Sus scrofa: one gene and its partners. The protein of the gene in region 1 purifies or fractionates together with the protein of each later gene. This does not show direct contact. Links are inferred from orthologs where the notes say so. Each region holds a gene or a part of one and is shown on either strand. Other genes may lie near its edges. The genes, in order: RUVBL1, H2AFZ and SHQ1.

Region 1 (3,651 bases):
CAGACAGAGCTCACCAAGATGTCAGTGCAGCCCTGGGCCACCTTGCCTCAGCCACATGCTGAACTCACCTACGTCCCCCAACAAAACAGTGCTGGGGTGAGGGTGGGCAGAGCAGATGGCTGGGCTCAGCAGGGTACAACCTGGCTTTGTGTCTTAGACTCAGTGACTCAGCAATTAAAATGGCAAATAACTGGCTGGAAGCACCAGAAGGGGACTGGGGATTCCCAGGGTGCTGAGGCACTGTGTGGCACAGTTGCTGCTCCATCTCCAGATCAAGCAAGAGGTGAGTGTGCAGGGAGAATTGGGACTGTGCCCCTTGGGATAAGGCCAATCTCAGGCATCCCTGTCATCTCCCACTGTGAAGCCCAACCCAAGTTGAACTCATGCAGAACTGAGCATGCACTATGCCGGGCACTGAGCTAAGTGCTGTGTGCCTCCTTCACGTCTCTTACTGTAAGGTTAGTTTTATGCCTTCCATTCCACCTGCCCTCTACGCCTATGAGGCTGCTTCACTACACCCCTAGGGCTTCAGCAGCAGCCCCAGGAAACCCTCCACTGTGACCCTGTCACAGCAGATGGGCTTTGCCAGGATTCAGGTTCTGTACCTTCCAGAGCTGACCTGCCATGGGTTCCAGTGGACCAGAATGCCTGGCTTTGCCCCTGGGCAGAAAAGGCTGTGGACAGGCTCTGGGCTGGAGGCTATCACAATCTGATATTCTAATGCCTCTTTCCTAAAGCTGGTGGTCTCCCTAATAGCTGTCATCAAGTTGATTTTCTCACTGTCCATTTCCTGTTTACCAGAAGGGACAGAATAGAAGCGAGAACAGCCAAGACCATAGGCACTTCAAGCCCAGCCATTGCTCAGATGGGGGCCAAGGCTCCGAAGCACTGAGACCTACTGTGTAGCCAACTCTGTGGTGGGAGGTGGGGTAGCCAAGGCTACTCTGCAGGCACTTTCCTCCTCAGCATCAGGGACACTGAGAGTGAAGGAGGGAGGCTGCTCACCTGTTTCATCTCCTGTGGGGTGTACAGCATGGTCCGGATGATCATCACTCGGTCCAGGAGGTCAAGAGGGATGCCGTGAGGAGAGGTGATGTCCTCCGTTCCCCTGCAAAGCCCAGAAAGACCACATCACTCAGGCCTGGGAGTGGAAACAGGCCCTGGAACCATGGCTGAGGCACTCAAGATGACAAAGCAGCTAGTTCCTGTCCTGAGAGTCAGAGGCAGGACCGCAAAGGGCACAGACTAACTCAGGTGGCGTCAAAAACAACTTCAATATTTTACCAAATATCAACACCACAGGACACTTGGGGAGGAGGAGAAAAAGCTACTGAAAATCATATTCAAAATATCCATATAGGTATTTGCCAAATTTTCATAAAGTACATTAAATACATAGACTTTTGTTGTCGTTGATGCCTTTGTCCATGTTACTTCAGTCTCTTAATAACCCATCAAGTGTCCACCAAAGTGCTGGGCATCTGGGCAGTTTCCATTTGTTACTGCTACTATTCATGGTGCTTTGATAAATAATTTTATACATTTAGCCATGAAAATTTCCTTAGCAACTCTCGTGGAGCCTGACACAACCCCGAGTATCTTCTTGGACAAATGAATGAATAAACCAATGTCCTAATTTATGCAGCTACTCGAGTAAGCTGATCCCACCACACTGTAGTCAACAGTGAGTATTCTAATCCTTAGTTTGCTGCTTAAAGATTTAGAAAATGGAAAGGTAACACATTGTCTGAATCTGTATTTCCTTGATTACTAAAGACTCATTTGAATATTTCCCATGTATTCATTCGTTATTTCATTTCTTTTGAGGAACTGTCCAATCATGTCATTTACCTAGCTTTTTCTTGAATCCTTAGCCAAGCCAGAGAACAGCCCAGGAGAAGATGCCTGCCAACCTGCCAGGCCACATGGCACCAGTTCTGGATGGGACATGTGCCAGGCAGGCCCCAGTGGCACACAGGCCATGCTTCCACCACATCTGGAAGCCCAATGAGCTGAGCCAGGGCTCCAGCTTCTGCCTTCAGGAGCCAGAGCAGCAGTTCTGGCCTCCCCACTTGATTTGTGTCCATGGTCACAACTCATCAATATAACAAAGAACAAAAGCAGGTCACTTGGGGTTAACTTTTAATATTGGAGTACTCAGTTTCAAATGTAAGTAAACATTCTAGAAATATAACTTCGGTAAAAGAAATCTGTTGAAATTCTATCCAGTCAGTTCAAGTACAAACTTGTATTTATTATCGCAAAAATAAAATGCTATCCTGACCCAGGCTACAACAGTACGAACCTTGAAAAGGTTATGGTAAGTGAAAGAAGCCAGTCATGGACAGGCAGACACTGCATGATTCCACCTATAGGAAATATGCAGAAAAGGCAAATGCACAGGGCAGAGTAGATCAGAGGTTTGCCAGGGGCTCAGGGAAAGGAAAATGGGACTTACTGCTTAAATGGGGACAAAGCTTCTGGTTTGGGATGGTGGAAAAGTCCTGGAAACTCTTCCAGATGATGGTGATGGGGCTGTACAACACTGTGAATGTGATTAATGCCACTGAATTTTACACTTAAAAATAATTAAAATGGGGAGTTCCCATTATGGCTCAGCCGTAATGTACCCTATTAGCATCCATGAGGACGAGAGTTGGATCCCTGGCCTCGCTCAGTGGGTTAAGGATCTGGCATTGCCATGAGCTGTGGTGTAGGTCGCAGACATGGGTTGGATCTGGCATTGCTATGGCTGTGGTGGAGGATGGCAGCTACAGCTCAGATTTGACCCCTAGCCTGAGAACTTCCATATGCCACATGTGTGGCCCTAAAAAAAAGACAAAAAAAAATTAAAGTGGCAAACTCTATGTTATACACATTTTGTCACAACAAAAACAATTCAAAAAAAGAATAAAATTATACATTAATAATTGTAACATTAATAACTAAGACCTTTCCAAATAAAAAGAGAAGTAGACTAATAACAAACACAAATATTAAGATAACTTTAGAGAAAACAAATCTTCACCAACAAACATTTCTAAAAATAATAAGGAAGAATTAAAGAGATAAAATTTCATCATGATTCAAATCTGAGTATTTGGTATACCTTCAATCTTCATACTAAACAAAATATCCTTTAAAAACTACATTTAATTTTTAGTTATTTAATTTTTTTCTTTTTAGGCCACCCCATGGCATATGAAGTTCCCAAGCCAGGGATCAGATCAGTTGTGACCTATACTACAGCTGTGGTGACACCCAATTCTTAACCCACCATGCGGGCAGGGGATTGAACCTGGGTCCCAGTGCTCCCAAGATGCCACCAATCCAGTTGCACCACAGCGGGAACTCCCAGTTATTTAATTCTGCTTTGGCCATGTGTTTCTTTTTTAAAAAGTCCTGTTTGGGTGGAGTCCCCATTGTGGCCCAGTGGGTAACGAACCTGACTAGTAACCATGAGGTTGTGGGTTTGATCCCTGGCTTCGCTCAGTGGGTTAAGGATCTGGTGTTGCTATGAGCTGTGGTGTAGGTCACAGACATGGCTCAGATCCTTAGTTGCTGTGGCTATGGCATAGGCTGGCAGCTATAGCTCCAATTTGACCCCTGGCCTGGGAACCTCCATACGCCAAGGGTACAGCCCTAAAAAAG
Region 2 (3,751 bases), on another chromosome or scaffold:
CAAGTATGAAAGATTTGGATCACTACTGTCTCCAAGCAGCTGGACGTGTACAGAGGTGCTATTAATCTATTAGTTGGAAAATTAAGTAGCTGGCATTATGATAGTACTGTGTGTACAGTACTATTTTTTTAAGCCCATCATTTGCATTTGATTACATGGACCATCTGTAACTGCCTGTGAATCATATGAGGACATTTACCGAACATTTGTCAAGTAGCAAAATGTTTAGCATAGAAGAGTTGACACATAATAGCCTTCATGTTTCACTAAATCAACTTTAGAAGCCAGGCTATAGGTACAACCCACAGACGTGTAGTCTTTAGAAAAATATGATTTGATTAAAGAATACCGCCTCAGCCCAAGCCTTCAGTGGGTAGACCAAAAGGTCTTTTATGACCAGCGAGGTGACTTTGCTTCACCGTCTTTTCCATGAAACTGTTCTGTTGGGGTTGGGGAGGTAGGGGGTTCAAAAAGTCCTGAGAAAAGAAGAGGAAGGAGATACAGCTGAAAAAGTGGGAGCAGAGGGTCGTGATGAATCGGTGGCTGGGCACTTGCCTAGGAGGAACAAACGCGAAATCACTACCCAGACTATGGTTAGCGAAGGAGTCGGGGCGCCTTTCACTGGACGCCTTCGCGCCACCTGTCAGACCGGAGGTGTCAACGGGAATGCAGGGGGGTCGGTGAAGGTACCCCGTGCTCCGGAAGAAGGCTGCGGACAGGCGGGTCTCTGCCCGCCAGGTGTTCTAACGGGGCGGAGGCGGAGGGAGGGCAGGGCAGGAAGGAGGGAGTGCTAGTCCCCGCTTTCCGAGGTCTCTGGAACCGAGCAAGGAGGCAAAGGTGGAATAGGGGGCAGCTACTGCGTGCCCCTCCCCTGAGCCTCTCAGCTCCTCCCTCCAGGCACGTGACTAAGCCGGCGGGTGCCCTGCTCAAGCAGCGTAGCTCGCTCTGTTTCTTCCCTCCCGCCGCTGTGCCCTTCTTCTCCCGGGTTCCCATCCCTCCGTTCTCCCCCACCTCCTTCTCATGCCCCAATAACAGCTCGAGCTGCAAAGCGCCCGCCCCTCCGCCCTTTTCTTCGCTTGCTCATTGGCTGAGACTTCAAGGACGCGGCCCGAGGGCGGGTGGCAGCCATTGGTGGGATGAGCAATCCGAGTTCCCGGATGAGGGAACATTCTGCAGTATAAAGGGAGCGGGGAAGGCGGGAGACAGCGCAGTTTGAATCGCGGTGCGACGGAGGAGTAGGCGGCGGGATCTCGCTTGGTGACTGACTAGTCCTTTCTCTGCCTTGCTTGTTTGAGCTTCAGCAGAATTCGAAATGGTAAACTTCGCGGAGGCGCTCGAAGACTACGCGGGTTTTTGCCGGCAGGAGAAAAACCCGTTACACACGGAGATGGGGGTGAAGCGGTGACGGTTGGGAACGCGCGGAGAGAGGATGTGGAAGAGCGGGGGGAGGTGTTTTGTCGGCGGCGAGCGGAGCAGCCTCCGATCTCGCGGCGGGCGGCGACGGTTGGGTGGCGCGCGCAGCGCCGCTGGGAGCCGGAGGGCGGTGAGCGGGCGGCCTGAAGCGCGCGGCCGCGGCGGGCGCGCAGCGGGGGGCAGGCGGGCGGGGTCGCCCTTGCGGCGCGCGGCGGGCCGGAGACCCCGGCTGGGCACCGGGCCCCGCTCGCGCCCGGGCCGCCCCGCGGTGGGGGAGGGGCGCGCCGCCTTGGTAATCCTGTATTCTGCGTTCCTTCTTCGCTCGCGGGCGTGTGCGCGCCGCAGGCTGGCGGTAAGGCTGGGAAGGACTCCGGAAAGGCCAAGACAAAGGCGGTTTCCCGCTCGCAGAGAGCCGGTTTGCAGGTCAGTGGGGGTTTCTGCTGTCTGGGAATCGCGGCGTTTTTCTCTCCTTTTTCTCTGTTTATCATTGCACTAGATGAGCTTTTGGTCTTTGCGTGGTGATGGTGTCGGGACTTGGTTTACCGATACAATAAATATTGGGGAAGGGGGGGCGATCACGTGTGGCGATGCTAGGGCGCGTTGCTGCATCAGCCTCCGTGCCCCTTGCTTTGGCGCGCGTATAATTTGACCATTTTTGGCTCCTCTATCTTTGTGCATTTGTGTTTGTGTATGCGAAAAATGAAGTTTCCGGTGGGCCGTATTCATCGACACCTGAAATCTAGGACGACCAGCCATGGACGTGTGGGCGCGACTGCCGCTGTGTACAGCGCAGCCATCCTGGAGTACCTCACCGCAGAGGTAAATGGGTGTACGCCTGTAATCTGGAAAAGGTGGTGGGGGGAGGCGGTGAGAGGGAAGGAGGAAAGTGATGCAAGAAAACTCCCAGGCTCTGAACGCGGTGAGAAGCTTCTGACAACGCTAGAGGGGGCTGGTGTTCATTTTGGGTTCCTCCTGAGCTTGAGTTGACTGCTTTAGGAAATAAAATTGCGTGTCCCCTTTATAGCTTTTGCATATCTTGCCATTCAGGTAGTGGGGGGAGACGGCAGTTGGTAGATACACGTTCACGAAGGTTTGATTCTTCTGGATCTTGATCCTAAGGAAAGTTGGCAGGAGATTGATTAGATTCTGTCTTCTAGGTACTTGAATTGGCAGGAAATGCATCAAAAGACTTGAAGGTAAAGCGTATTACTCCTCGTCACTTGCAACTTGCTATTCGTGGAGATGAAGAATTGGATTCTCTCATCAAGGCTACAATCGCTGGTGGTGGTATGTAAATACTAAAAATTTTTTAATTTCTTTAGATAATTCTTTACTTTTTTCCCCCACTAGAAGAGGACACTTAGTGTTATTTTCAGTGATCTGTAGTATGGTTGCATCATGAAAATTGATTCCTGTATATAACTTAGTGAATTTTTACTTCTGCATACTCTGGCCTCACATTTAAAGACTTCTTCGAAGTTGAACGTTAAACTGTCATGGTTTTGAAGTCCTGTGTTAATTTTCAAAATAATGTATATTTAAAAGTATCCCTTTCCTCCCCTAGGTGTCATTCCACACATCCACAAATCTCTCATTGGGAAGAAAGGACAACAGAAGACTGTCTAAAGGATGCCTGGATTCCTTATTATCTCAGGACTCTAAATACTCTAACAGCTGTCCAGTGTTGGTGATTCCAATGGACTGTATCTCTGTGAAAAACACAATTTTGCCTTTTTGTAATTCTATTTGAGCAAGTTGGAAGTTTAATTAGCTTTCCAACCAACCAAATTTCTGCATTCGAGTCTTAACCATATTTAAGTGTTACTGTGGCTTCAAAGAAGCTATTGATTCTGAAGTAGTGGGTTTTGATTGAGTTGACTGTTTTTAAAAAACTGTTTGGATTTTAATTGTGATGCAGAAGTTATAGTAACAAACATTTGGTTTTGTACAGACATTATTTCCACTTCGGTGGATAAGCTCAATAAAGGTCATATCCCAAACTAGTTGTGTATTAAATTCACTTGATTATGATGGGAACAACTTTTGTTTTGAATAACTATCTTATCCAGCAATAACTTAATAAGCACGTTTCTTACCTTGAAATTAAAATGTTAATTTTGTAGATCAACAAACCTCGAAGGCTAAAGCATATATATATTTTTTAATGCTATGAGATGAACTATTAAAGATTTTAAAACTTCAGTAGGAGCTTGGAACTGGACAAGGTGATGTTTTTTAGGTTAAATTTGATCATCTCAATTTGTCGCTGCACTTGCTGTTTGTGACAGCAGCACTACATCCAGAGCACTGTCATGGACTGGGGCAGGTAGGGAAGTTC
Region 3 (3,651 bases), about 18 Mb from region 1:
GTTGCAAGGTGATGTTTCTCTTGCAGTCTTCTTTTATGGTACACCTGTTTGCATGTGTATTTACATTGGGTTATAGTATATGCTATTATTTATTTTATTTATTTATTTTCGCTTTTTGGGGCCAAACCTGCAGCATATGGAAGTTCCCAGGTTAGTATATGAATTGGAGCTACAGCCCCTGGCCTTTGCCACAGCCACAGCAATTTGGGACCCGAGCCGTGTCTGTGAACTACACCACAGCTCACAGCAACGCCGGATCCCCAACCCATGGAGCAAGGCCAGGGATCGAACCCTAATCCTCATGGATCCTAGTTGAGTTTGATAACTGCTGAGCCATGGAGGGAACTCCCAGCCATGAAGGGAACTCCCTATGCTATTATTTGACCTGCTTTTCTCACTGAACATGGTAGCATTTGCTTAGTGTTAGGAGAAGGAGTCGATATGTGCCAAATTTTTTGCTGTTAGAATTCTGAAAATTTCAACAGTGATTTTTGAGATTTGCATTTGACTCCAAAATGAATATTAATGAGTATATTGAGGTCATACTGTAACTGAAAAAGGGGTTTTTTTCCACTCATCTTTTTAGGATACCATAGTTGGAGAAAATGTTTTCTTCGACAGAAAAAGTGCTTCATATTGCTTGAGGAGATTGAGAATATGTAGTTATGCTCGATAAAACCTAGCATTTTTTATTTTTACATTCACATATTTAAAATTGTGAAGTCCTGAAACTTCAGGATTGCTCTCTAGAATGTACTTCTTCTCACAGGCATTCTCTGAAAGGCCAAATGCTTGAGCAGCTTTTTAAGTGCCACAGAGAATACTTGAACATTATCTCTCAGTTCTTTGGTAGATTATTTATAAATATCTGGGAGGCAAGTAAAACCTAGTTGGGAAGGACAGAAATTGAGCACGCATTGCTTTGCTTTAGCTTTAAAGCCCTTGCTTATGTGCTCTTGTGTTCTGGTACTCTTATCAGTGTGAAAGCTTTACTTTCTAAAATTCCAAACAGAGTAGGCAGAAACTCGCCTTTGATCACCCTGGCATCATTAAAGTCATTACTTTCCCGCAGTCCTAAATGCTTCTTAGTTCTTATATGATACTAGTTGAATAAGTGGATGTATTTGCTTTGTTGAATAAGTGGATGTATTTGCTTTGTTTTTAAATGACTTTGTCTCTAATGTGACAACCTTATTTGTTTTCTTCAAAACAAATAAGGTTGAATCTGCATGGAATATCAGAAAACTGAGTCCAACGCTGTGCTGGTTTGAGGTATGATTTTCAGTTGTACTTGCTTTGATTCTGTTTGTTCAGAGAGTTAATTTTTGTTGTTATTAGTTTATTTTGGGTCAACCAAGCAATTCCTTGATTTTTAAAAAGTGGTAGCTTTATTGTCCATTTTTTTCTTTCCATCTTTTTAATAAAAATCTGATTCCATTTGTTACTCTTACACTAATCCTAGTATAATAATGAGACCAGTTAGGATATTTTGGAAGTCAGGAAAGGGAGCACAAACTCTGGAGAAGGAATGGGGACAGAGTCTTTTGGGGCAGGATATGGGTGGAGTTTGAGGCATGGAGGTAGGTTGGTATGTATTGAGGTTCAGAGCTCACAGATGGGCAGCAAATCTAGGTGATAATATTCTTAGCTGCAACTTGCCACCAGGGGTTGTGCCAAGCCTTTTAAGTATAGGTGTATATTCCTTCACCTGTTCCCTTCAGTAAGTCTGTGAGATAAATGTTATTGATATTTTACAGATGAGGAAACTTGTATCATATAGCTTAAATAACTTAGCCTAGGTCCTACAATTAGTATGTTTAGATCTGATAACTCTCTAGTATAATAATAATTGTTTTTATAATCTATTTTCCAGAGAATAGTTGTGTAGATCTTACCAAAAATAGCTAAACATAGGCTGGCAGCTACAGCTCAGATTCAGCCCGTAGCCTGGGACCCTCCATATGCCGTGGGTACATTCCTAAAAAAAAAAGAAAAAAACAAAAATAGCTAAGGATGGTATCCGTAAATCTACTAGCTTTGAACACACTGTCGTACATCAAAAAAGAAGCTTCAAAAAAATGCTGATTTCAATAATTGATAATTGCATCATCTATTAAAGGCAACTAGTTTTGTTTCTGTGTGTGTGTGTTTCTAGTTTAAATCTTAGATAGTGTTCATTTTAAGTTGTAAAATCAAAATTGTGTCTGTGGAATCACTTTGTTCAAATAATAGATAAGATGTAAACAGGAACCAAAATAATTAACTTTATCAGAGAATCTTAGCAGAGAATGTATCCTCTTCTGGCAGCTTGTTGGAAAGACAGAATCCCAATCCATACCCCCTGAGTTAGACTAGGTAGCAAGATCTCCAGGAATTCGTATGCATATTTAAGATGGAGAAGTGCTATTCTTTGAACTTCGTGTGGGTTCTGCATATTTCCATGATCAGTAGATTAATGGAGAAACTGGCTTTTGTAATGGTCACTTGATTACTTACACTGAAAACAAAGTAGTTGGTGACTATATAATTTCATAGTTATTAAAATTTACATGAAGAAATTGACCTATTTGACTTTATTTTGAAATTTTTATTGTTTTCGAGGTAACAGAATTGCCAGACATGTTAATAGTTCTATCATACCTTTATTTCACTTCTTGACAGAATTTTTTAAAAGTTCCTTTTTTTTTTTTTTTAGCTATAAACTATTCTTTTTGGGTGCTCGGTATTTGTAATCAGATGATTTATTCGTTAAGGATACCTACATGGAAATACATACATACATGGAAAGGATACATACATGGAAACGATGTTACTCTCAGTTTTAATTTTATATTTTAAGTATTATATATGGGTTACATTTGTTATACATTTTAAATTAAAACCCAATTTAAAAAATTTTGTAAAAATTTATCTTTTTCTAGTGTTTTCAGTAAGTTTTGTGTTGCTAATGGTATCAGTCTGATACCTGTCAAGATAAAGAAATGAGTAGTTTCTCTTTGATAAGTGAAAGCAAATTACTGAAGTAAATGCCAAAAGCTAAAGAAAAAGAGAGAAAAGGAAGAGGGGAACTGTGAACCCCTTCACTCAAGAGTTCTGTATTTTTCATCTACATTATCTTGAATGCTCCTAAAAGACAAAAACATGAAACATAGATCATTTAGAAATGTCTTTTATGTTCATCTGTATTTTGTTAGTGCCATATGTTTTGCATTCAGATTGGTAACTTTTAAAAGACTTTTAAAAACTTTCCTGCTATATATGTGATTTTTAAGGAGCATTTTTGATATGTTGATAAAGTGTGAGAAATTATGACTGAGATAAAAATTATATTGCGAGGTGTAAAGAAAGAGTCTCATTCCATGGCTTTGTATTTGTCTTCCACTTGGCTTGATGATGATCCAGACTTAGTTTTTAATTGAGAATAGTTATGCGTTTGTTGTGTGCTTTTGTTTCGTGTAATATGGAAATGATTACTTATTTAAATGATACTTCACAGACTTGGTCTAATGTTCATGAGATCCTGGTGTCTTTTGGAAGACGAGTTTTGTGCTACCCACTTCACCGCCATTTCAAGCTGGTGATGGAAGCCTACAGAGACACTATAAAGATATTGCAACTAGGTAAGATATTATTGTGACTGCACATTTGAGA

Evidence for each region.
Region 2: the proteins of RUVBL1 (region 1) and H2AFZ purify together in Homo sapiens (affinity purification with mass spectrometry; 6 studies listed by BioGRID and IntAct, with this or other methods). This does not show direct contact. The link is inferred for Sus scrofa from reciprocal best matches to the Homo sapiens genes RUVBL1 and H2AZ1.
Region 3: the proteins of RUVBL1 (region 1) and SHQ1 purify together in Homo sapiens (affinity purification with mass spectrometry; 3 studies listed by BioGRID and IntAct, counting the BioPlex papers as one, with this or other methods). This does not show direct contact. The link is inferred for Sus scrofa from reciprocal best matches to the Homo sapiens genes RUVBL1 and SHQ1.

The regions. Positions count from the first base shown.
Region 1 is NC_010455.5:72,238,323-72,241,973, reverse strand, and holds part of RUVBL1 (ruvB-like 1), read right to left. Parts: intron 1,109-3,651; coding exon 1,006-1,108; intron 1-1,005. UniProt on the Homo sapiens protein: Possesses single-stranded DNA-stimulated ATPase and ATP-dependent DNA helicase (3' to 5') activity; hexamerization is thought to be critical for ATP hydrolysis and adjacent subunits in the ring-like structure contribute to the ATPase activity.
Region 2 is NC_010450.4:120,562,625-120,566,375, forward strand, and holds H2AFZ (histone H2A.Z), read left to right. Parts: upstream 1-1,127; 5' UTR 1,128-1,312; coding exon 1,313-1,315; intron 1,316-1,758; coding exon 1,759-1,836; intron 1,837-2,118; coding exon 2,119-2,232; intron 2,233-2,570; coding exon 2,571-2,700; intron 2,701-2,977; coding exon 2,978-3,039; 3' UTR 3,040-3,399; downstream 3,400-3,751. UniProt on the Homo sapiens protein: Variant histone H2A which replaces conventional H2A in a subset of nucleosomes. Nucleosomes wrap and compact DNA into chromatin, limiting DNA accessibility to the cellular machineries which require DNA as a template.
Region 3 is NC_010455.5:54,139,157-54,142,807, reverse strand, and holds part of SHQ1 (protein SHQ1 homolog), read left to right. Parts: intron 1-1,218; coding exon 1,219-1,272; intron 1,273-3,496; coding exon 3,497-3,620; intron 3,621-3,651. UniProt on the Homo sapiens protein: Required for the quantitative accumulation of H/ACA ribonucleoproteins (RNPs), including telomerase, probably through the stabilization of DKC1, from the time of its synthesis until its association with NOP10, NHP2, and NAF1 at the nascent H/ACA RNA.